3 linked regions of the Lepisosteus oculatus genome follow. The protein of the gene in region 2 purifies or fractionates together with the protein of the main gene of each other region. This does not show direct contact. Links are inferred from orthologs where the notes say so. Each region holds a gene or a part of one and is shown on either strand. Other genes may lie near its edges.

Region 1 (6,917 bases), on a different chromosome or scaffold from region 2:
TTTTAGATTATGGCTCTCTGCAGTGTACTACAGCCTTTTGTCCAAGGGTTGCTCTTCAACTAAGGATTTTCTGTTGGGGAATTTTGAGCAGCACTCCATGAACACAATCTAAACTCTTACATGTCTGCATCTTCCCCGTAGGGTCCTTTCCATTACCGCTTGCCATTATTCCAGCAATCTCCCACCTAGTGTGTAGAATACAAAGCCGACGTGTTAGTCTCTTTTCTTCTAGACTAGGGTTTTCTTGACCACGAATGCTTTTGACTGACAAGAGCTATTAGGAAGGGAAGAAGGAATGTACATGTGCACTCTGGGCTCCACATGTGACTTCTGGAGCCTGGCGTTCACAGCTCTGTGACACTGTAATCCCATGCTCTATTTTAATTAGCTCTGTGCCACAACGCCGATTAAATGAAAAGAAGAAATTAGATTAGATAGTTTTATATTCAACAGATTGACTAAGGAGATTATTTTCATTATTTAATTTTAAACAGTCTGCTTGTTTATAACATGATATAATAAGTTAGTTATTTAACCGATGCTTTATTCCCAAACCGCCTTACATGTGTACCCATTTACTTACATGTCTGGGCATTTTGCTGGAGCAGTCTGAGTGCAGTATCTTTCTGAGAGGTGTAACAGGAGTTCCCCACCCAGGAATTAAACCCAAGCCTCCCAATTATGAGTCTAGACACCTAACTGCCATTTCACACTGCTACCAATACTATAATATAAGCTGAATCCTTGATAACACTAGAAATAAACTAGAAAGAACTACTATATTATACAGAAATAACCCTTTTTACCATACATTATGTAAATGAGACTCACTGGAAGGAGACTTTACAGTATACAGTATGTGTGCCATATTTTAATACCTATTTACACTGCCTGCACCCTGTAATGTTCTAAACACTAGTCACTAGTTAGAACACTTTGGCTAGTTAAAATACTTGTTTGCAGTAAACTGACAGATCAGAGAATTATTGTTATATTTTAAACATTCTGAATACCGTATAAAAATAAATAAGGCAGTTACAGGCAAAATTCAAAGGATATTGCTTTTCAACTCAAGGGAATTATACTGTACAATCAAGATCTGTGAATAATGGAAATTAAAAGCGGGAGGTTTAGGACTGGAAACAGGAGGCATTTTTTTTACCAAAATAGTGGTGGGTGTCTGTAACAAGAAAGACAGGAAAATGGGAACTGATCATGTCCCTTTCCTCCTTGGTGAAACTTTCCAAAATAATCAGACCAGGCTAAAGTTGTCTTTAGTTGATGACAGAGTATTAAAAGTCATAATTCAGGAATTGTGTTGCCCACTTGTCTAACTATTCCTTGTTACATATAGACAATATTTTCATCCATTAGGTTGATTTTATATTATAATCAACAGTTAAAGGCTTTGCAAGAAGGTTCTCTGGAATAAATTATCTACAAGCAGTCAAATGTGCAAGGTGGACTGAACAGCCTTCTCACCTTTGTTAACTTTCTCATGGATTTATACTGTCAAGATATTGACCGTTTTTGTGTTGTACTTTTCAATATTCTGTAGAACATGTACTCAGACACATCAGAGAGCCACAATATTAATACTTCAAAAGTAAGGTTAACAGATAACCAAACAGTAAAAGGAACATTTGGATCTAACTTTAAGTCTAAGTAAGATATTTTAAGTTAACAACAGAACAACAGTCAGAATAATTATCAACAGGGCTCCAAATGCACATAAGGAAAGCTGTTAAAAAGTTAGGAATATTCAATGCATTACAGCTCCTTAACCTTGTTTCAGGGTAACAGACTTTCTGATTGGCTTTCTGTTGTTTATGGATTGAGTTTTTTTCTGTTACCAAACTGCATAAACATGATGTCTAATAAATGAAATGGCATTTTAAAAAATGAATCAGAATTTAATTAGACATTTTCGAACGTTTTTGCAATTACAATAAGAAGTCAACAGTAGGCTTCTCAATGCAAAACCTGTTGAGTCTGTCCAACCCAGGGTTTTGGAAATGAAACCAACTGTAAAACAATTGCTACAAGCTTATCAGTGGGACTGACCTTTCCAAGTACAAACACTGTTTGTTTTCTTTTATTGTCAGTTAATCAGAAAGCCGTTTGCAGTATTGTTGTTTTGTTATGTTTTTGGTTAAAAAACAATAGTGCTAAAACCTACACATTCAATCTGAATTATTATTAAGATGCCATACAGGAATAAATGTGGATCTATTTTGATCCTTTTTTAACTATATCAGATTTAAATACAGGGATATGAATGTTTTAATAATGTTAATCTGAGGTTCTCATTGCTTGGTTTCCAAAGACCAAAGACCCATTGCCCTATTTGTAAGAGAAAGGTTGTTAAACCCTCAAAATCTCACCCACCAAGTTAAGTTCCCTCTTAATTTTATTGCAGTTATAGCAATTTTGCACTTCTTTACCTGATCTGCAGTGTAGTGGGGCTCCTAGGGGGGTGAATACAGTGGGCATATTTATTTTATGTATTAATGTACAGTAATATATACATAATAATAATAATAATAATAATAATAATAATAATAATAATAATACAGTACATACAGTCTCTCAAGTAATTTCAAAATCTTTGGGTGGAAAAGTGTTGTACAAAAATAATTCTGTACATTGTATTTGTTCTGTTTCTTACCTCAATGGGTGATGATTCAAACCAAGTTTCAATACATCACTCTTCTCGTTGCACAGTAACTTTGTTACGGTCACTTGTGAAATTTTGTCCCATGAATATCTATCACCATAGATAAAGGCATTACAAATCTAATTATCTAAACAAGTCTAATTATCGGGAGAATTTCAAAGAATATATTGCAGCGCTCTCGGGTTCACGGGGGTATGTGCCCACCTCAGGTCGGCCCCCCACCGCTAGGGACTCGAACCCGGGCCTCCGGTCACTCAACAGGGACCCCGCCCGTTGAGCTAAAGGGAAATCTCCCTGAGCCGCCCTCCCTATTCACAGGGAAGGGCGGTGACGTCACCGCGCCGGTAAGCCGGCCCGCTCAACCTGCAGTGGCGACCGTCTGCGGAAAACAACAACAGCATGTTGTTTTCCGTAGCAGTAATGGATCATAATCACATTTATGAGTAACCGTCGCGTACTTCCCAACAGCCTGTAATGAAAAGCTCCGTGAAGTTGCCCCCGCCTACACACAGCACAAACGACGAAACCCACCTCAATCGTTAGTGCAGCGTTTGTGCCGGTTTGTGCCGTTGAAAGTAACTTCCCAGCTGCTTTCGTTCCTTAGATACAACGTCTTCTTTTTCAGGGGTGACCTTGCCCAGAACCCCTACAACGTCGTAGGGAAACCGGACCGGTCTCAGTCGTTTGTGCCGGTTTCGTTCCCCAGATATAGCGCCTTGTCCTTCCGGTGATCACGCGACCTTGACCTCCAGTGACCCCGAGTTCAAGCGTCTGTGAGGGGTGCGAGAGGAACGGCTCTGCAGTTGTGTTCCTCTGTTTGCCCGGGTGGGGGGCGGCGGTGGATTTTGCATTAAATATCAGTGTCCTCTGTGCGTTGGAGTGATTTGTCACGAATATCACACACCCTAATCAGAAGAGTTGCGGGTGTAGTCTCAAAGAGAGAACACCAGCAAACAATTGCATGTTCTTACCAAGAGGCTTTAACGAGCACGTCTCAATACTTCGTAGCAGTGTGTGTTTAAAAAAAAAAACCCTGAAATGATCAGTTTCTCACCGTCTCCTTCTTCAATAAACACGCACCAAGGGACGTGTAAAGGCGGGGTCACTGGAGGTCAAGGTCGCCGTGCATGGTTACATGATCACCGGAAAAACAAGGTGCTATATCTGGGAACGAAAGCGGCACAAACACTACTTTCAACGACACAAACTGGCACAAACTTGCACAAACGAATGAAGTGGGTTTGATCGTTTGTGCTCTGTAGGGGGGCCAACTTCACGGAGCTCTGTAAGGAAACTATTAGAAAAACAGCGCCACATTGTGGACTATTTTAGTATTGTGAGTTTTCCAAGTGGTGTTTTATTTTTAACCATTTAGTTTTGTATTACTTTAATTTATGTCATATATTAGCACGTAGCAAGTATTGTCACACACACACAATATGTATTTTAGCTCATCAGTTTAAATTTTCTAACAACATTTTCCTGATACATTCCACTGTAACTTTCCTGAGGAATTCAATTTTCCAGCCAGGACAAGAGGTTGAAAAGTTTTACACGCACAGAAACAGCTAATGAAACACTTTTAATTTTTTTAATCAATTTTAGTAATGTTTAACACGACACCGTGACGGATAATACAGTAAATTGATTTTCTCAAGGGGAGGCGCCATAGTTTTGAATCTGTGACGTAAGACATGCGACGGATGTGTTGATTCTCAGTCGCACTGAGACAGAAGCCATGATGGTGTCAGGAGAATCATGAAACTATTGCGAATTTGAGTTTCAGACTAATTTGAAACTTAATACAGTTGACTGTTTTTCTGCTATTGCATTTATTAATTTACCGTTGCTTTTGCGGTGATACAAGATGAGCGACGATTTGGACGCAATTCCCGAAAGGGAAATGAAGGTAAGTGTTTGAAACAATTTGTGAAGCTTTCAGTTTACATTGGTCGATTTGCAGTACCGAGTGCACGACATCTTCGTGGTTTGCCTCTCTTAAGACTTTTACCGTGGTTGAGTGACAGCTGTGATTGTCGAAACACGATAAAGCTATTCTTAAAAAAGTATTTAGATACTCCTGTCACACTTTCGTATGTCTAGAATGTATTTTCTTATTTTGTAATGTGCTATTTGCCTTAGAGTTATACGATATTTTTAAGTTAAGCATTCAAATTATTTTCTTGATGATATGTTAGATTAGGCTTTACGTTTTTTCTATTCCATACCCATTATCTACGAGGATGCCGGCAAACATTTGAGCCTGTGTTGTTTTCACTTTCATTTCTTCGTTTCGAAAGTTCTGAATTTATCGTATACATATGTAAATCCGTCTTATTCCTGCTGGAATGGAAGGTGGTGCTTTTTAATCATTTTGCAAAAAACAGATCTTGTTCTTGTGGAATGCTGCCTCTGCGACTGAGGGATAAACTTCATGTCTGAGGTCCACAGACTGTAACGTAACTGTACAGCACTGTCAGTGTCTGTTACTTCAGTAAACAGTTTTTACAAGAGACTTTAAGGAGGACAAAGAGTACGTGCACGGCTTAAATGCTTTTTATTTGTTGTTTGCAGGATTTTCAATTTAGGCAGATGAAGAAGATCCGCATTTTTGACACCCCAGAGGAGTTGCCGAAAGAAAGGTCTAACCTGCTTGCAGTTTCCAACAAGTATGGGCTGACGTTTATAGGCTATGACACGGAGCTCAAAGTGTTCCAAACCTGTGACATCGTTGCAGCAAACCGGATTGAGGGCAATCCCAACGAAATAGGTACAGTGTGACTTCAGAGGGTGTTTACTTCTGAGCAGAGTGTGAACATGGATCATAGCTGATTGGTTTCCAGTTAGATTTAAACAATATAGTCAAGCCAGAGAAAATCCTTGCACTTGCCTGTATCAAATTCAGACTTAGGATCTGTACCCTAACATTTTGGTCCAAAATTGTATAGCTCTCTAAAGCCTGTAAAATAATTTTGAGTACTCTTGCATTGCAGTAAACAAATGCAATATTAAAAACATTTGTTTTTGCTTTACCTGTATGCATTTAAGAAGATTCCCACAGCTCTAAACCAAATCAGATTGCTGTGTTATAGGAGCCTTATGTGTATCCTTGTGCACAATCTGTAAAAGATTAGCATAACTTGTGCTTTTAGTTGTATACAATACTCGTGATAATTACATTTTGATCAATTATGTTATCAGTTTTGTGTTGCTATGGTATGTTCTTGTTTTGCAGTTCTATTGTGGCTGTGTTTCATGTTGATGCAGGAATTCATCTGGATTTCTCTGTTTTTCAGTGGAGGGTGTAAATGGTACAAGCGTTGCTCTGGAATCTCCTGTGCACCATGTGGCTCTGAGCTGTGATGAGCTCACCCTGTCGGTGTGCACGCTGTCCGCTGAGGGGGGGGGGAAATTGTCTTTCTTTGACGTCCGAACTCTGCTCAATAAGGTAGGCTTTCTGCACTGAAAGCTCCTTCTGTCATCTCGTCTCCCTGGAGCTTTAGAGGAGGTTTTCTGTAAAAGAGCTTTCAAGCATTAATGGGAAAAATAGCCTTCCAGCAGAGGATGGCGACGAGCATGAACCACTGTAGTTGCGTGTTTCTTAAAAAAGACTGCGTTTGACTGCAGCTTTATAACACAAAGCAATACATCCTCCCGGGTGGCAGTGAACAGATTCCCCACCTGTTGGCAGCGCAGCTCACTTGAATAGCAGCCCTGAGGCTGAGTGTACCTGCCGTATAGCCTGTCATTCAGTGCCAGCGCTCGTGGCAGCTATAGCTTTAACGTCAGGAAGGAAGGAGAAGGTCACCGCGTTGACGTGGCCGTGCCTCTCCCCTCAGGCCAGGCCAGAGAAGCTGCCGTTCACCAGCCTCAGGCCGGCCGTGCAGCCGGGGACCTCGGTGAAGGACCTGAAGTGGAACCCGGCCCTGCCCTCCCTCCTGGCGGCCTGCCTGTCCGACGGCAGCATGCTGGTTCTGGAGGTCCTGGACAGTGCCAAGCTGCAGGCTCAGTTGCCCCCCACTGAGGGAATCACATGTGGTGAGCGTGCTCCTCCGTGGCTAATCCGCCCCAAGATTAGTGTGCTCAGCCCATTAAGATGAACAGATCTGTTTAATGGGTTGTGATGCAGGTGCAAGGCCTTAAAGCACTGTTGTTGTATTGACATATCTAAAGTTACATGTACCGTGTGGCAGGGAGAGAGAGAGATTTCCCTTCATCTCTATTTTTGTGATTTGTCAAA
Region 2 (7,130 bases):
CTGGTTCACTGGGATCTCAGCACATGCTATCCCAGCCACACACTGAGAGGCTGAACTGGGCCTGTATGTTTCTGTACCCAGAGTCTGCAGCACCTGTAACAAGGAAAGTTGTCAGTATTGGGTTATTAAAAAAGGTCTGCTTATGTCTGCAGTGATACACAATTCCTTTAACTCCAGTTTAATAATAAAAGAACTGTCCATTTAACACCAGTGTCTAAAATAATAAATATGGAAGCTAGAAGTATTATAGAGCACTATGATGTAATAGTTCAAAAGAACACAACAAGCACCCCAACAACACCACCATACTGGCTTGATACACTTGTGTCTGCTATGAAGCATGGTGAATGAACCTACTTCGTCTCATATAAAGAACCGAAAAACTTCAGCTGGTAACTGATCAGTTCTGAATGCAGCAGCTGTGCCAGACTTACATAGTTCTTTATTTCTCTCCGTGCGTTGGCATCTATCGCGAGCCACCTCTGCTGATACTGCGTCTTCACATCAGGGTCTTTGGAGGTTAGGGAATTCTTCACCTGGAGGCCAGCCGCCACCCGTGCCACCTGACTGTTCCCCGGGTTCGCCAGCACTTTCGACAGTTCCACCAGGAAGGTAGGCTGGGAGATGAACAAGCCACAGATATGAGCCATCGCAGCCAAAGCAGGAGCTGACCCCTGACCCGAATCCACACTACAAGAGCAGCATTCCAAGCGGTAACCCCTTCCCTTTTAGAACAAACAGCCACTTCTGCGTTTATTATGTTCACTTCTGCAAGACCCTCAGTTAACACTCTCAGCCACAGCAGGCACCAGAGCAGTACTTTACCACAAAAATGTGTCCGTTCATTTTCTGTTAATAAATGCCTCTTCTGCCATTACGGATGGCTCTAACCGAACTGCTCGGCTGAGACCTAGAATGCAGATGCCTGCACGGCATGCCGAAACCACGAACCAGGCCGAGCGCTGGAAGGTCAACTCCTCAACTTATCCAGTGTGTTCTCTGGGAATGCCTTTGGACGTCACAATCAATCTCTGCCAACTATTAGTTACTATTAGGCCTCTGTTTTTGACTTTCACAAGTTTGTCCTACTAATTAGTTATTAGTTTAAAAAAGGGCAGTTGCCATACTTTTCCATACTGTTAGTACTAAATGACAAAGAGCTAAACCTTATTACATGTCTTAAAAAGATTTCAATTACTTAAAATAAAAGGCAACGGTAGAAGTAAAATGAGACGTTAAGCAGATTCATGGTAATCTTCAAATGCCAGTGTTTTTGTTGCACATGCATGCACCACTGCATGGTTGGAACAGAGCTTGCAAATAGCAGCCTGCACTGAAAAGGGTATTCTCATGAAGGTGGCTCTGAACAACATGAGTGGCTTCGTAGTTCAGATCTTTATCTTTGAACATATGTAAAAATGATAGATACTTTAAAGACCGGATTATAAAGCGTTCATAGTAGTATTGAAATTTGCACTTTAACTTATGCATAAGTTAAAAAATGACTATCTACGCTGTACACTGCACATATAACCACCAATCCGAACACTCTCCTTTGCTGAAAAGTAACCTTTTCTGTCCACGCCTACATCTGCAGAGCCTGGGGAATAACTTCAGGACATCGATGGTCATTCGTAAATAACTCTGTACCAGAGGTGAAAGCAGAAATTACTCTCGGTTTCTAAGCCAGATGCACAGACCACCAAGCCCGTCTGTAAGCGGTCAGGCCCCGCGGATCGGCGCTCACATGGCCCCGGACTGGGCCCCTGCCTCTACCGAGCCCCCACGCCCTGTACGGGAGCCGCCATTGGACACGCTGCACGGGAAATCCGGGCCCGCGATTCTCCACGCAGCGCGTCAATCAAACTCACAGCCGATTACAATGGAGTGGGCAGCGGGGGCATGGCGCTTTTTCATTCAGGATCTTTTCTGCGTAATGGAGGACTTGGGCACCAGACAGGGGGCAAGAAATCTACGCAGAGCACAGACTGGGGGGGTGAAAAAACCAATACAAACCAAGTTCTCAATAGCTGCCTGCTCCAGAAACTTCTGCGCAGCCTCCAGCTCATTCCGATCTGAAATAAAATGAACAAAAATGTCGCTTAAATCCGCTAACGGGTACTCAATGAAAATACCCTTATAGATCAGCAATTTAGACATCTACACGGAGGCCTAGAATCGTACAGCTAGAAATCTCCATTTTCCTAGAAAATCACTCCCAGGCGGAGCTCGCAGGCGGCGGAGCGCCCCAGGCCGCGGCCGGCAGCTCATGCGGGACCACACGGACCGGCCGCCAGGGCTCACCGCGCAGGCGGGCACGCCGGAAAACGGCACTCAGATCCCCAAGTTAGTGACACCACTAATCTGCAGCCCCATCATTCGACTTCGAGCTGCCCACAGACCCACGATTTAAATAAATTGTACAGGAAACCACCGGTGAGATGCAGAAGTTACACCGATCCACGACCCGGCCTTTCGAGCCCTACAATTACACCTCCTGTTCCGATTAGGCCGCTTTCCCAGACAGACCTCGCCGGGCCAGCCGGTGCCCAGAGGCGCCCCTGGACTGGCCCAGGGAGGCCAGCGGGAGCCCAGGGGCCGCGCCGGGAGGCCGGGCGACGTGCGCGGGGAATCGGCCCCAGAAAGCCGGTCCGGCAGGCTTGCAGGCCGAGTCCACCCCTCCCTCCCTTTCACAAACAACTTTCCGTTCCGGAGCCCGATTCTCCCGGGATCCACGGCTTTCAAGCCGAACAAGCACCGGATTGAAAGCAGTTGTGAGGACATAAAGAGAAGTCCCGCGGCTCCGGGGGTATAATCACCTGGAGAGACAGTTTTTTCGAGGATGGTGATGAGCTCCATTCTGCCCGAGCCGCTCCACACAAGTAGTAGCTGGTAGCGCACCACAGAAACCGGATCAGACTCCTTCTGTATTCAGGCGATATGACATGAAAGTTTCCAAACGGAGGAGGGCGGACGATGAAACGCGTTTCCCCAGCGAGCGCCCGGCGAGGCGGTAAGTGCTCTCCGAGCGGCAGTGCTGCTGTCTGGGGGGAAGGAGCTGCTTCACGCTCCCGCGGAAGGATATCACGCGCCGCCGCAGTGGCAGAGCCTCCTCCCCTCCGGCGCGCCCCCGTCCCCGGCGCGCCCCCGAGGCCCGCTCCTGCCCGCGCCGCCGCGAGAGCCGGCCTGTCCCCCCTGCCAGATGTGCGCGCTCCTGCGGACGGAGCGGGGGCGGCTGTCCCTAATAACAGCAATATTCACCCGAATATTCATTATAATAGAGACGTCCTGTCTGCAGGATTACATCCACAAGCCTGTATGTAAACTATAGATCTATAGTTTACTGCAAGTCACATTATTAGCGTGGGGGTAACACAGCTAATGTTACAACATGGTGTAGTAACAGATGTAGTACAGAGTGAGGTACTTTAAAAAACAGCAATACGAGCAGCAAGGTAACGTGATCGGGAGAAACAGACAGGCGAAACGTGGGCTCAGGGATTGAGGAGACCGGCGGAGCGCAGCGCAGGCCTGGCCTGTAGACACGGGCACACCCAGACCCCGGCACGACGGGTGGTCTCACATCATCCTGCTGGCTCCTTCTGCGGCTCCAGGAATAATTACTTAGGGGGTCTTGCATGTGAGGAGCGGAGCCACAGTGAATCATTTTAGTATGTTGATTTTTTTCCTTTGTACCTCTTAAGTAAGCAATGCAGTATGCTGAATTTATGTTTTATCAGAAAGAACTGTAGCCGTCACCGATATCTATCACAGTATGCAAAATACACTTTCCCGGTGGGGTGACTTAACCTCCCCCCCCAGCCTCATGAAAGAGCCCTGAATATCAGTATTTTTCTTAAGACCTAGAAAACGAGATTTGCTCAAACAGTGCAACATCCGCCCTGTCGACGTTTAGCACGCCTTTTCTTCCGTAATCCACATTCAAAAACGAAAGTCAGAAAAGTAAATGTAGGAAGTAGATAGGAGCATTTTAATAGATCCGAAAAGGCAGATTCCTTGATAACCATCAACTCCGCGGCACTTTCCCGTGCCTTGTCCGTGTGTGTGCGGGGGACTATTTGACTCCGTCTGTGCAAGGATACACGGCCCGCAGGGCGCGATGAGGCGCTGGAAGAGTTTGTACTTCCCGCCCGGCGGTGCGGCTCGCGCAGCTCGCGGCCCGAGGGCGCTGGGTTTACAGACAGGGCAGGGCGCGTGGACTGCGCAGAGCTCGAGGTTTGCCCAGCGGAAGGCAGTGCGATTTGCTTCCAGGTATAACGCACAGCAGCTACACGAGCCCTGTTTAGTATAAAATATTCAAATCAACAGTCTCAAATATTAAGAAGAAATTTTGTCAGAGAGTTTAAGATTGTTCTGTTACATAACATTGCTGGATAAGGCCATCACCAGAGGAGGCCTGAAATGCTACAGAGAAGCAGACATTGCAGTTCAGTGGTATTGCAGCCATAACAGACAGCTCATTTACAGCTGGCTGCAGAGCACAAATTAGCTTGACCTCAAATTGCAAAAACTGTGTAAAACTAAAATGGTGTGCTTTGGTGTCCGCCTTCTGCAGGCTAAGGCTGATGCAAGTCAATCTTTTCTGAATAAGAGGTTACCGAACAGCTAGACTGGTGCTAAACGGGCCAATCCTCTCCTGGTTTGGTTGCTTGCTTTATGTTCAAAGTTCACGGCAATCAGATTTTAATATATAAGAATAATAAAAATCTGTGTTTTTCCCTCATAAAAGTATTTAATAGCGACTCAAAACTGAAAAACAACTGCTTGGCCTGCAGTTCTGCGGCCCGTGTGTGGGCCCGAGTCTCCAGTGTGGAGAAGCAGCTTCAGCTCTTGTGGCACCACTGCCAGAACAGCAGCTGTGCCAGTTCCCGATTCTCTGCTCAACACAGCAGCACGGTCCAAATACTGGACACACCCCAGGGAACTGGGTAATATGGAGATGCACTTCTCAGCTCAATCTCCTTTGGCATGAAGGATAACCGCTCCAGGTTTGCAAACATACACATCAACACTGTCATTGAAGAAAGGAGTGATGTTGGCATTCTTTCCTTTTATTACATTGCTTTATAGCAATATTTTGTTTCAGTTGCCAGTAACCTATGACTGACAGGTCCTAACAAGTTTGTAAGAGAGTAAAAAAGAAAAAGCGATTTCACATTGACACTTCTTGTTGATTTTTTATTTTATGAACACCAACCGTTTTTTAAACAAAAGCACAACAGATGTTTCAGGGAAGCAATTTGACAATTAGTTTGATGACCTTCTCCAGTATGGTTCAAAGCCACACTAAATAGCAAATTGTATGTAAATATATCCTTTCAACAAGTCTACACGTAGATTTGTAATGTTAGTACAACATTGCTTTATTTTCAGTGTAGTAACTATTACCACTTCACAGTGTAATAATTATTGCAAACCAGTTTAACCAATTTAAGGCTTCTTAATTCAATAGCCGTGAAATCCTAGTTACTTTGTGGCAAAGTTCTCAGGGCCTGAAAGTTTCATTTCTTTAAAACTAATTTAATATGCAGCATTATCTGTAAATGTCATTTAAAAGGCCCAAATCGCTTTGAAGAACTTTTCATGAGTTTCACAACTTTAAAACAATTGCTAAATCTACTAAAATATCTGTATCTAATTTTATTTAATGTGGCTGATACACAGATGTGTTTCCAGGCAGAGGCTCTGTGCTGCTCTACAGAGGACGCAGCTCAGGGTCAAGGAGGTGTGGGACCATGGAAAAGAAAAGAGTCCTTCTGGAAAAGGGCTACGAAACGGAGGAGGGAAGAAAATCATGTACATCACCATTCTTGAGTGAGAAGTCTTGCGTGAATAAACACTGGATAGATACATATCAAGTTCCATGCTAGTTTCAGCCATTCCCACTGAGCTATTCTCAGCATCACCCTTCAGCGCTGCTGTGTGCTAACGGCTGCTCTCCGCGCGAGGAGAAGTTAAGCCCATCCTGCCCAGCTCCACTTGACCGCCTGACCCCCAGTGAGGTGCCAGAGCTGCCTCGTGGTCGCTTGACGCTTTGTTTCCAGAAAAGCAAATTCATCATTTCACAGTACGCTCAACAATGCAACATTTCCACTTATGTCAATATGAAACAAAATTGGCCAGAATCATTTCACACCAACAATGTTATGTTGTGTGTTTTAAGTTATGTTGCTTAGTTACTTGCAAGCACGGTTCCGTCTGGGGAAAACAATCTGGCGTGGGCAGAATGGGGTTAACTACATTCATTTTCCAACCAGTCTTGTCTACTTGATGTGGAGAAGTGGAGTCAGGAGAGCGTGGCTGACTCCTCCCTCGGCCCCTGGCCCGGTTGCGGGACGGCGCGGGCCGCAGGGCGTCAGACGGCGGCGCTGGGTGGGGCTCGGCGCTGCAGGATATACTGGTGGATGTCCTCGGCGTCACGCTTCAGCCAGGCGGTGTTCAGGAGGATGTTCTCGCAGCACTGCTGCACCGTCCGCTCGGCTGCGGGGGCGTGGTGGCTCTCGAAGAAGCTCTGGGGGGGGGGGGCAGACAGTTCTGGTCAGTGTGAAACACAAAACTCCCCCTGGCAAAACTACACTCTGATGGGGTAATTAACACATTTTAGTGCACACTAACTATGGCTGATACAGGGGATGATGTTGTATTAAATTTCCCAAGGGAACCTGCAGGCTCTTTACTTTGTGTCCAGTATAGCTTCCTCTATGTGCTCTGTGCAGCCCCAGGGCCCAGGGGTGTGAGGTTTAGATGTGTGTTGTTAGATGGAGACAGAGCTCCTTCACGAACCTACACAGTCTATACACCCCCACATCCCAAAAAATATTAAATCCTTAATATTCACTGAAGAAACACTGATGAAACACGCTAACCATTAGCAAAAAGGCAGCGTGCGAGTTCATTCAAATACAGTACATATTGTGAATTTATAGTGGTTGTTGTGAGCTAATTAATGTGTGAGGAAAACGGGCTTTGAAATGAAAAAAAATGCCGATGATTGGAACTATTACCGCATTTGATACTAGCACTGAGGACTGGGCAACGTACATTGAAAGAGTGGAAATGTACTGCGAAGCAAATGATGTAGCAGACAATAAGAGAGTGTCTGTCTTGTG
Region 3 (7,889 bases), on a different chromosome or scaffold from region 2:
CTTTGGACACTAGAGCAACTCTAGTTTTTCACCAAGAGATGCAGAAATCCTGTAAAGAATTGTCTGTATCAGCTTTTTTTTAATGCGGTTATTTTTGCTTGTCTATTTTTTTTTGCCTTCAGTGGTATAACAAGTTTTGTGCACTTTCAACTATTAGACTGTAGAAGCTTTGGAGAGCGCTCTGCTGTTTGTGGATGAACGCCAATAAACTCATCGCCCTTTTTTAAATGTGACTGACAGCCCCTGATCAGGTTGCCGCCCTGTGCCCCTGGACCGCAGGATGATCCGGGCGGTGCTTTAAGTTGCCGTTGTGCAGGTGGTCCTCAGATCCCTCTCTCCTTTTTGCAGAGCACGCAGTACTATGACAAGAGGTGGTCCTGCGAGCTCTTCATCCTGGTGGCGGTCAGCACCTCCGTGATCCTGATGCGCCACCTGCTGCCCCCCCGCTACTGCGACCTCCTGCACAAGGCCGCCGCCCACCTGGGCTGCTGGCAGAAAGTGGACCCCTCCCTCTGCTCCAACGTCCTGCAGCACACGTGAGTCCTCTTGAACTCGAGCTTTATTGCCATGTGGACCCGGTTCGTGTACTGGTACAGTGGAATTCTTACTTACAGAAAGTCTCTCGATTGTTAATAAGTGTAAAAACACAAAGTGCGGACAATGCATCAGGACAACATACAAACAAACAGTAGACAATGTACAAGTAAACAGTTTGAGTGTAAACAATGCCTGCAGATGTGCAGTAAATAAGAAATCGTAATGAGGTTGATGGAGTAGGTGTGCTCCGAGGGGCATGGCCAAATGTGTTTGCCAATCGCACTGCTTGTGGATAGACGCTATTGAGGAATCTGGTGGTCAGTGACCGAGTGCTCTTGTATCTCTTGCCTGAGGGCAGTGGGGTGAAGAGCTCATGCCCGGGGTGGTGACTGTCCTCTGTGATGGCCAGAATTCTACCACGGCAGCGGTCCTCATAGAGCTGTTTCATCTCTGTGAGACCACGGCCGATGATCTTTTGGGCCACATTCCCCATTCTCTCCGGTTTCGGGGCCACATTCCCCATTCTCTCCGGTTTCGGGGGCCACATTCCCCATTCTCTCCAGTTTCGGGGGCCACATTCCCCATTCTCTCCAGTTTCGGGGGCCACATTCCCCATTCTCTCCAGTTTCGGGGGCCACATTCCCCATTCTCTCCGGTTTCGGGGCAACATTCCCCATTCTCTGCCCGCGGGCTCTCCGTACGGCAGCAACCTCAGGCCACTGGCATCGCGCAGGATTCCAGCCCCCCGCTTGACCCCGGATATTAGTGTCCGCCAGCCCGTCGAGCCGTCTGCAGCGCTGGGAAATAAACCCCATCGTTCCCGTTGTTCCGAAAATGGAACTGTTTCCTTCCCAGGGATGTCGGCTCATCCTTGTTGTACGACAATCAAAACTTTTGTGTGTTCTTTTTTTATATTAACAAAGCGTCCCTATAATGAATGAGCACTTCTTTTTTTTTTTTACATGAAAACAAAAATTCAGGGCATAAAAGGTTAAAACTGATTCTTGCAATATACAACCTGAAATGTCCAAAAGCACCGTCTGTCAATAGGAGCATATGGCAAGTGTTATTTTAATTATAAACAGGTATTAGCTGCTGTTGCCGGGGCCGAGCTGTTGTAATGACCAGTGTTTTCCTCACAGGTGGACAGAAGAGTACATGTGGCCACACGGAGTCCTGGTCAAACACAACAAGAATGTCTACAAAGCAATGGGTCACTATAATGTAGCAGTTCCTTCGGATGTATCACATTATCGATTTTATGTAAGTAATAGTAATTACTTTACATAGCTCTCTCTCTTGGGTGACACACAGCAGCTCCACTACTCGGCAGATTAAGTTCAGTGAAGGGGGAACTTTAGCCAGGACAACAGGGTTAGCACCTCTGCTCTTACAAACAGCCCTGGAGCCCCAGTTTAATATCTCACCTGCAGGATAGTACCTCCTACAGCACAATGTGTGGAGCAGCATGTACCCTATACAACTCTTCCACCCCATCAAACTCCCTACAATAGCATTGCAATTCTACTGAAAGGGCTACCTTTTCATAAATGAGTAAATAATGAGTGGTGGGTTATAAGAATATTTTATATGCGTGGGAATATACTGTATATGAATATATATCGTGAAGAATATGTATGAATATACATCTGGGAGAATGTGTGACAATATATGGGAGTCGGTGAGAATATTTATAAATATACATCAGGGGGAATGTGTGACTACATACATGAATATTTATGAATATATGTCAGTGAGAATGTGTGAGAAAACACATTAATATAGATCAGGAAGAATATAACTGTATATGATTATACAGTATGTCAGTGAGACTGTGTTAGGATATTTATGAATGAGTGCCAGTGAGATTGAGAGTGAACATGTATTTGAATGTATGTCGGTGAGGTAAGCACACCTGAGATTATAGCAAACATGATGTGCACTTACCCAGTCTGCACCTGTCGGGTCTTTCTTTCTCTTCCGCAGTTTTTCTTCAACAAGCCCTTGCGGATATTGAACATCCTTATCATCCTGGAGGGGGCAATGATATTCTACCAGCTCTACTCCTTGATCTGTTCAGAGAAGTGGCACCAGACGATATCACTGGCTTTAATCCTCTTCAGTAATTATTATGCCTTCTTCAAATTACTCCGGGACAGGATAGTACTAGGGAAGGCTTACTCGTATTCCTCAAGCAGCACTTCTGACCAGAAAATAAGTTAAATGTTGCCATGGAACAACTACAGAATATGCCAGAGAGCTTTGTATTTTTTCTACAAGTGCTTTTTTTTCTTCGTGTCGTTGTTGTTTGTTTTTGGTTCTTTTCTGCCATAATAAAAAAACATATTTTTGTATTCCCTTAAAAGAGTCTTCCTTTCTTTCTTTGGTTGTATTTGAGGTGTTACTGAACGCTTGTGTGCTGGGGTTGTGTGTGTGTAGACAGTACAATGGTAGAAATGTGTGGGCATCCTCAGAGTATGTGGCACTGGCTGGGACAGATGTCTCCGAAGATTTTTTGCCAACAATAAAAAAGATCTGAAAGAAAATAAAATGACACACTGCATCAGTCTGATAGTGTTTTTTCCCCTGATACTCTTTTGCAAATGTCAACACATCAACACATTGTGGCTCCAGATGTCTTGGACTGCTGGCTTTGTCTCATCACTGCTTCTCTCAGTTAAAAAGTGTTTGAACGGCAAATGAAGATGTTTTTCTTCTCTTGGAATGTTTGTTCTGTTTCTTCTTCAAAGATGGCACTTGGGTGCAGAGTCCAAATGTAAGCACAGAAAAACACAACTGTCTCCAATTTATGAGGCAAGATAGTGTTTTGGATATACCTGGAACTGCTGATAAAATCATTGGTAGTCTAGGTTCAGCCGATTTGCCTGAAAATCCTTACCACCGGTGAACAGAATGAATCGCTATTCATTAAACCCCTGGAAAGATATAGCTGAATAATTTGTAACTGAAGAATAGAAATCCTCCAAGTCAAATGCACTACTCACAATTGCTTGCAATGAAGGATGCCAATAAAACAATTTGGGCTGCGACTGTGGTTCAGGGTACAAATGTCGCAGCCAAAATAAATTCAAGATCATCTTTATTTCCGTCCCTATCCTGGACACCTGATTGCACAGTAAAGAGCAAAGGCACTGTGGGCTTGACGTTCAGATGGAGGACAGTTTCTGACTGTTTTGAAGATAATCTATCTTGCAGATAACCAGCTCTTTTGTTGTTCAGAGTGCGTTGTGATGGACAGTTCATCAGTGTGCTCTGTGTGAGTGATTATTGAGTTGACTCTGCTGAGTAAGCCGTTCACCAATCTACCCCTCACGGACTTTGTTACAGTTTAATTTGATGCAGCTGGATTGCTGAAATGTAGGGGCCTAAGCTTTAAATGCATCGAAAATGAATCAGTTCTCTGGATTTTCTGTTGATAATAATCAAGGTACGAGTTCCTGTGAAATTAACACAACATTACAAATTTTGTGTTCTAGACATGGTTAATGTCTTTGTTTCTGGGATGGTGGCATTGCGATTATTCCTGCTGCCTCGCAGCTCTCAAGTCCTGGGTTCGATTCTGGACAGTGGCACGTTCTGTGTGCAGCTGGCATGTTTGGAGTGTTTTCTTTAGGTGCTCGGATAGGTGTTGGCTGGTTTTATAATTTCTTTAGTAATGTCAGACAGACAATTGAATCCTTGGAGAATGTTGCTGAAAAAACGTTTAGGAAGACATGACAAGGAAGGATTGCACACAACTTATCCTGACCATAATATCCCACTCAAGATCTGACAGCTCTTTCAAGATAGGCACTGCCAGAACACGCATAAATTGCAATTGCTGTTTGGCTACAGACAAATTAACACTACAAGCTGAACCTTAGCTGTCTTGTGTATTATCTTGTGTATTCTTTTTATTTATTGTTGTTGTCATTCTATAAAGCGCTTTGAGAAGCCACCTTTAAAGGCGCTATATAAAATAAAGTTTATTATTATTACTATTATTATTACTACTTGGGAGTTAAAATAAGGACTGACTCTCAGAGAGAGTTTTTTTCATCTCGTACGTGTGAGTAATTTGTATGGCATCATTTATTATCTAACTGCGAAGCTCTGAATGAATGCTTCAACTTGGATTGTCATCGGCATGCGTGCATCAGTCAGCAGAGCTGTTCAGGCGTAGTTCCTCGCCGAGCAATCGCCGGCTCTGAACCGCCCACCTTTTTCTAAAACGCGACGACGAGCCATTTGGCTGCTCCGGGCTTCCGTCGTCTTCCGACATATTGTCTGCGGACAGCAAATTCTGGAAGGGAGGGAGAGCGGGTGTGAGATTAAAATTAACAGAAATCGGGACAGAAGAGAGACACGGGGGGGCTGTCACCGGACGTATATCTGCCGCAATGGGTGAGTTGAAAGCGTGTAGCTCCCCGCAGAGCAGGCGGAGAGAGGGCGTCGGTAGACGGGCCGATTCCCCGGGTCACAGTTTCTCTCAGCCGTGCGGGCTGGTGGCGGGGGGGAGATCACGCTTGTCAAACCCCGGCCCTGTCTCTGCTGGAAAACGGGGCAGGGGTGGGGTGGGATCCGTTTCGACTCAAGCGGCAGGTTTTGTCTGGGGACGGGTCCGTGGCGTGGCGCGGCGCGGCTCGGCGCGGCTCCCGGGTGTGGGCCCTGTGTGGACGGGCCTGAGCTCAGGAGAGGCCGTGCGGCTGTTTCCAAGGGAGGGGAGCGGAAAAAAAAACACCTTTTACAGCAGCCATAGGCGGAAAAATTGCAGAAACGCTCCCTAATATTACCCACTCTCACAGTGTCACTCCATCTGTCTGCATGGTACGTAACATAAATAATAATAAAAAAAACCCTACAAAACGTGATCTTGATTTGGATGTTTATAGCAGTGGCTCATTATGCACTGTCTTAGTACTAGACGTGTTGTGGCTTTTTAGTAATCCGATGATTTCCATTATCAGAAGTTTTTTCTTGTTTCTTTTTTGGCCTGTAGGATGTACAACACAGTATTTGTTTTTCTTCATATATCCTCTACGTCGTATGAGAAACTGCGGGGAGGGGATCGAAAACGGCGTTTCAAGAATTACAATATTTCCACATACATTAAATTTGTGTGAACCGCTGGTGTGGCGGCTTCCGACATTTTAACTGGCAGGCCTACCGCCGTTTCTCTCTAGTTTGTCTTTTGAAACCTCTGTATTAAAGAAAGAGGGAATCATCTCCCGATTTGATTTAGATTTTTTTTTTGCAGTATCGCTAAAGTAGAATGGAGTTTGATTTAAAGGATCTAATTGTGCCCGGTTTTTCAGATATAATTCAATTTGCCTTTGTCTGACTTAAACGGGTCGGTTTCTATTCACACGTTTTTAGGTCTGTTTTGTTCATGCAGGATCTGATTCATATTTGCACAAGGCTCTTGAGTCAGGCAGTGACTCATGTGCTTAAGCTCTCTCGAGTATATTCTTCACCCTAGCTGGGAAACGCTTCATTTCTGAAAGTCGGTGGCCCCCGATATTCATCGTGAACTGTTCCTCTGCGGCATCGTATTTGATAACTGCAGACAGAGTCGTAAGGGACCAGTAAATGCGGAGGTGTCCTGGGTTTGATCGTCTCTAAGCCAGGGGTTTCGATTCTGGCCCTGCAGAACCACAGACCCGTTAGTGTTTCTGCCACCTGAGCACTCAAGTAATCGCTCCTTTAATATAGCTAATGATAGGTCAAGTAAAACCTCTTTCCCTGGAGTTCCTCAAGATTTATGAGGCTGCCTTTTAACTATTAAGTTGTCAGTAAAATCTACAGCCTTCAATAATAATAGTCATTCCTTACAATTACATAGTGCCTTTCTAGACTCGCTGACTCAAAGTGCTTTACAGGTAATGGGGACTCCCCTCCACAACCACCAGTGTGCAGCACCACCTCTGAGTACCAGGATAAAAAAAACCTGCAGAGGTTCCAATCAGGCAACTTGTTGTCCAGTTAAGGATTCATAGGTCAGGGGCTCCGCTGCAGTGTGGATCTCTAGGACCAGGATGGGGCAGTCCAAAAAGACTGAATTGATCCGTTATTCCTCATTTCTGGATGCCCAGGATGGCACTTTCCCTGGACGTGAAGATCACAGGACCAGGGGTGTCCAGGTGTGGTTCTGGAGGAGCGACTGCAGGGTTTCAGTCCAGCTCAGCTCCTTGTGACCTCACTCAGACTGCTATTGGCTTGCCTGGACCCATCTGACTGCTTCTCACTGCTCTTCAGGCCCTGCTGGCATTAAAGACCGACTAGCAGGCCTTGGCACTTGCTGGACAGCTCTGACCCAGAGTGAATAGTCTGGGGCTGCTGAAGGTATCACAGTGTATCGGTCACAAGCATATATATGTGATGCATTGTTTTCTCAGCAGCTTAAATGTAAATTAAGGGTCATACATTTTACAGCGCATAGAACATTTTGTATTTTTGATCACTTACACATGTATTGACTGAATTTAGGTCTTTTGTGTAAAAAAACAATTACCCTCTTCTTGGTATGGCTTTTCAGACTTCCTTGGATTGTTCATTCCTAGCCGATTACAGTGGTTCTGATCTAGCATTGTGTGTTTAAAAAATGAACTGGACGTCTGTACGTTTGTCCTGAGGTTTGGAGAACACGGTGGGGTGTTGAATTGCGAAGTGCCAGAGGGAGATGCAGTTCCTGCTAGCGGTTTCGGAAGAGGTCGCAGTCACCCCTGAACCTTTTAGGAAGGGAATGGAGGTTCTCGGAGAGTTTGCTCGTTTGGAAGGAAGTTGTCCGGTTTGATCTCGTACCTGAGAAGGAAGCCCAGGCAGGTGCCGTCTGCGCTGAGATATCCGTGTTTGCAGTCTGGCCCTGCCTCCCAGCTCCCTGAGCGTGTCCCAGACCAGGAGCACAGGTTCCATGGAAAAACAGACGGAGCTGCTAACTGCTCTGCTGCTGGTAACTCTGAAGCGATCGTTTTCAAGTGCTTCTATATCTTCGATACTTTTTGTGTCATGCAGCTCAGTTGCATAGTTTGAAGTGAGTCGACGTTTTGCTTTAGATCTCTTAGTTGCACCTTACATTTTATATATTTTATCTTAATCTGAGTTTGAGTTTTTCGGTCCCAAGCAGCTTGCAGATAGTAGGTGTCTCCCTGTTCTTTTCAAGGCACTTTTCCACCGGAGCTGAAAACAGGTGCCTGGAACAAGCCCTGTTGTGGGAAAACAATACCCTGGCTTCTTTCATGAAACGGCCACATGAGCGAGATCCCTGGACCAGTTAGCTGCTAACTACCAATTGGCCTGCTGGACTGAATGACCCCTTCTTGTCTGTAATCTTTCTTGTGTTCTTTCAGTCCTAT

Evidence for each region.
Region 1: the proteins of kpnb1 (region 2) and nup214 purify together in Homo sapiens (affinity purification with mass spectrometry; 3 studies listed by BioGRID and IntAct, with this or other methods). This does not show direct contact. The link is inferred for Lepisosteus oculatus from reciprocal best matches to the Homo sapiens genes KPNB1 and NUP214.
Region 3: the proteins of kpnb1 (region 2) and kpna6 purify together in Homo sapiens (affinity purification with mass spectrometry; 4 studies listed by BioGRID and IntAct, with this or other methods). This does not show direct contact. The link is inferred for Lepisosteus oculatus from reciprocal best matches to the Homo sapiens genes KPNB1 and KPNA6.

What each region holds. Positions count from the first base shown.
Region 1 is NC_090719.1:15,565,361-15,572,277, reverse strand, and holds the start of nup214 (nuclear pore complex protein Nup214), read left to right. Parts: upstream 1-3,813; 5' UTR 3,814-3,832; intron 3,833-3,978; exon of another isoform or gene 3,979-4,013; intron 4,014-4,120; exon of another isoform or gene 4,121-4,544; coding exon 4,545-4,586; intron 4,587-5,251; coding exon 5,252-5,447; intron 5,448-5,973; coding exon 5,974-6,125; intron 6,126-6,516; coding exon 6,517-6,715; intron 6,716-6,917. UniProt on the Homo sapiens protein: Part of the nuclear pore complex. Has a critical role in nucleocytoplasmic transport.
Region 2 is NC_090723.1:10,479,100-10,486,229, forward strand, and holds the start of kpnb1 (importin subunit beta-1), read right to left. Parts: upstream 3,097-7,130; 5' UTR 2,860-3,096; coding exon 2,820-2,859; intron 2,076-2,819; coding exon 2,017-2,075; intron 618-2,016; coding exon 435-617; intron 94-434; coding exon 1-93. Other genes in the region: npepps (puromycin-sensitive aminopeptidase), read right to left, coding at 6,377-6,532.
Region 3 is NC_090706.1:3,284,813-3,292,701, forward strand, and holds the start of kpna6 (importin subunit alpha-7), read left to right. Parts: upstream 1-4,785; 5' UTR 4,786-4,937; coding exon 4,938-4,941; intron 4,942-4,993; exon of another isoform or gene 4,994-5,364; intron 5,365-7,889. Other genes in the region: tmem39b (transmembrane protein 39B), read left to right, coding at 349-536, 1,680-1,800, 2,524-2,760. UniProt on the Homo sapiens protein: Functions in nuclear protein import as an adapter protein for nuclear receptor KPNB1. Binds specifically and directly to substrates containing either a simple or bipartite NLS motif.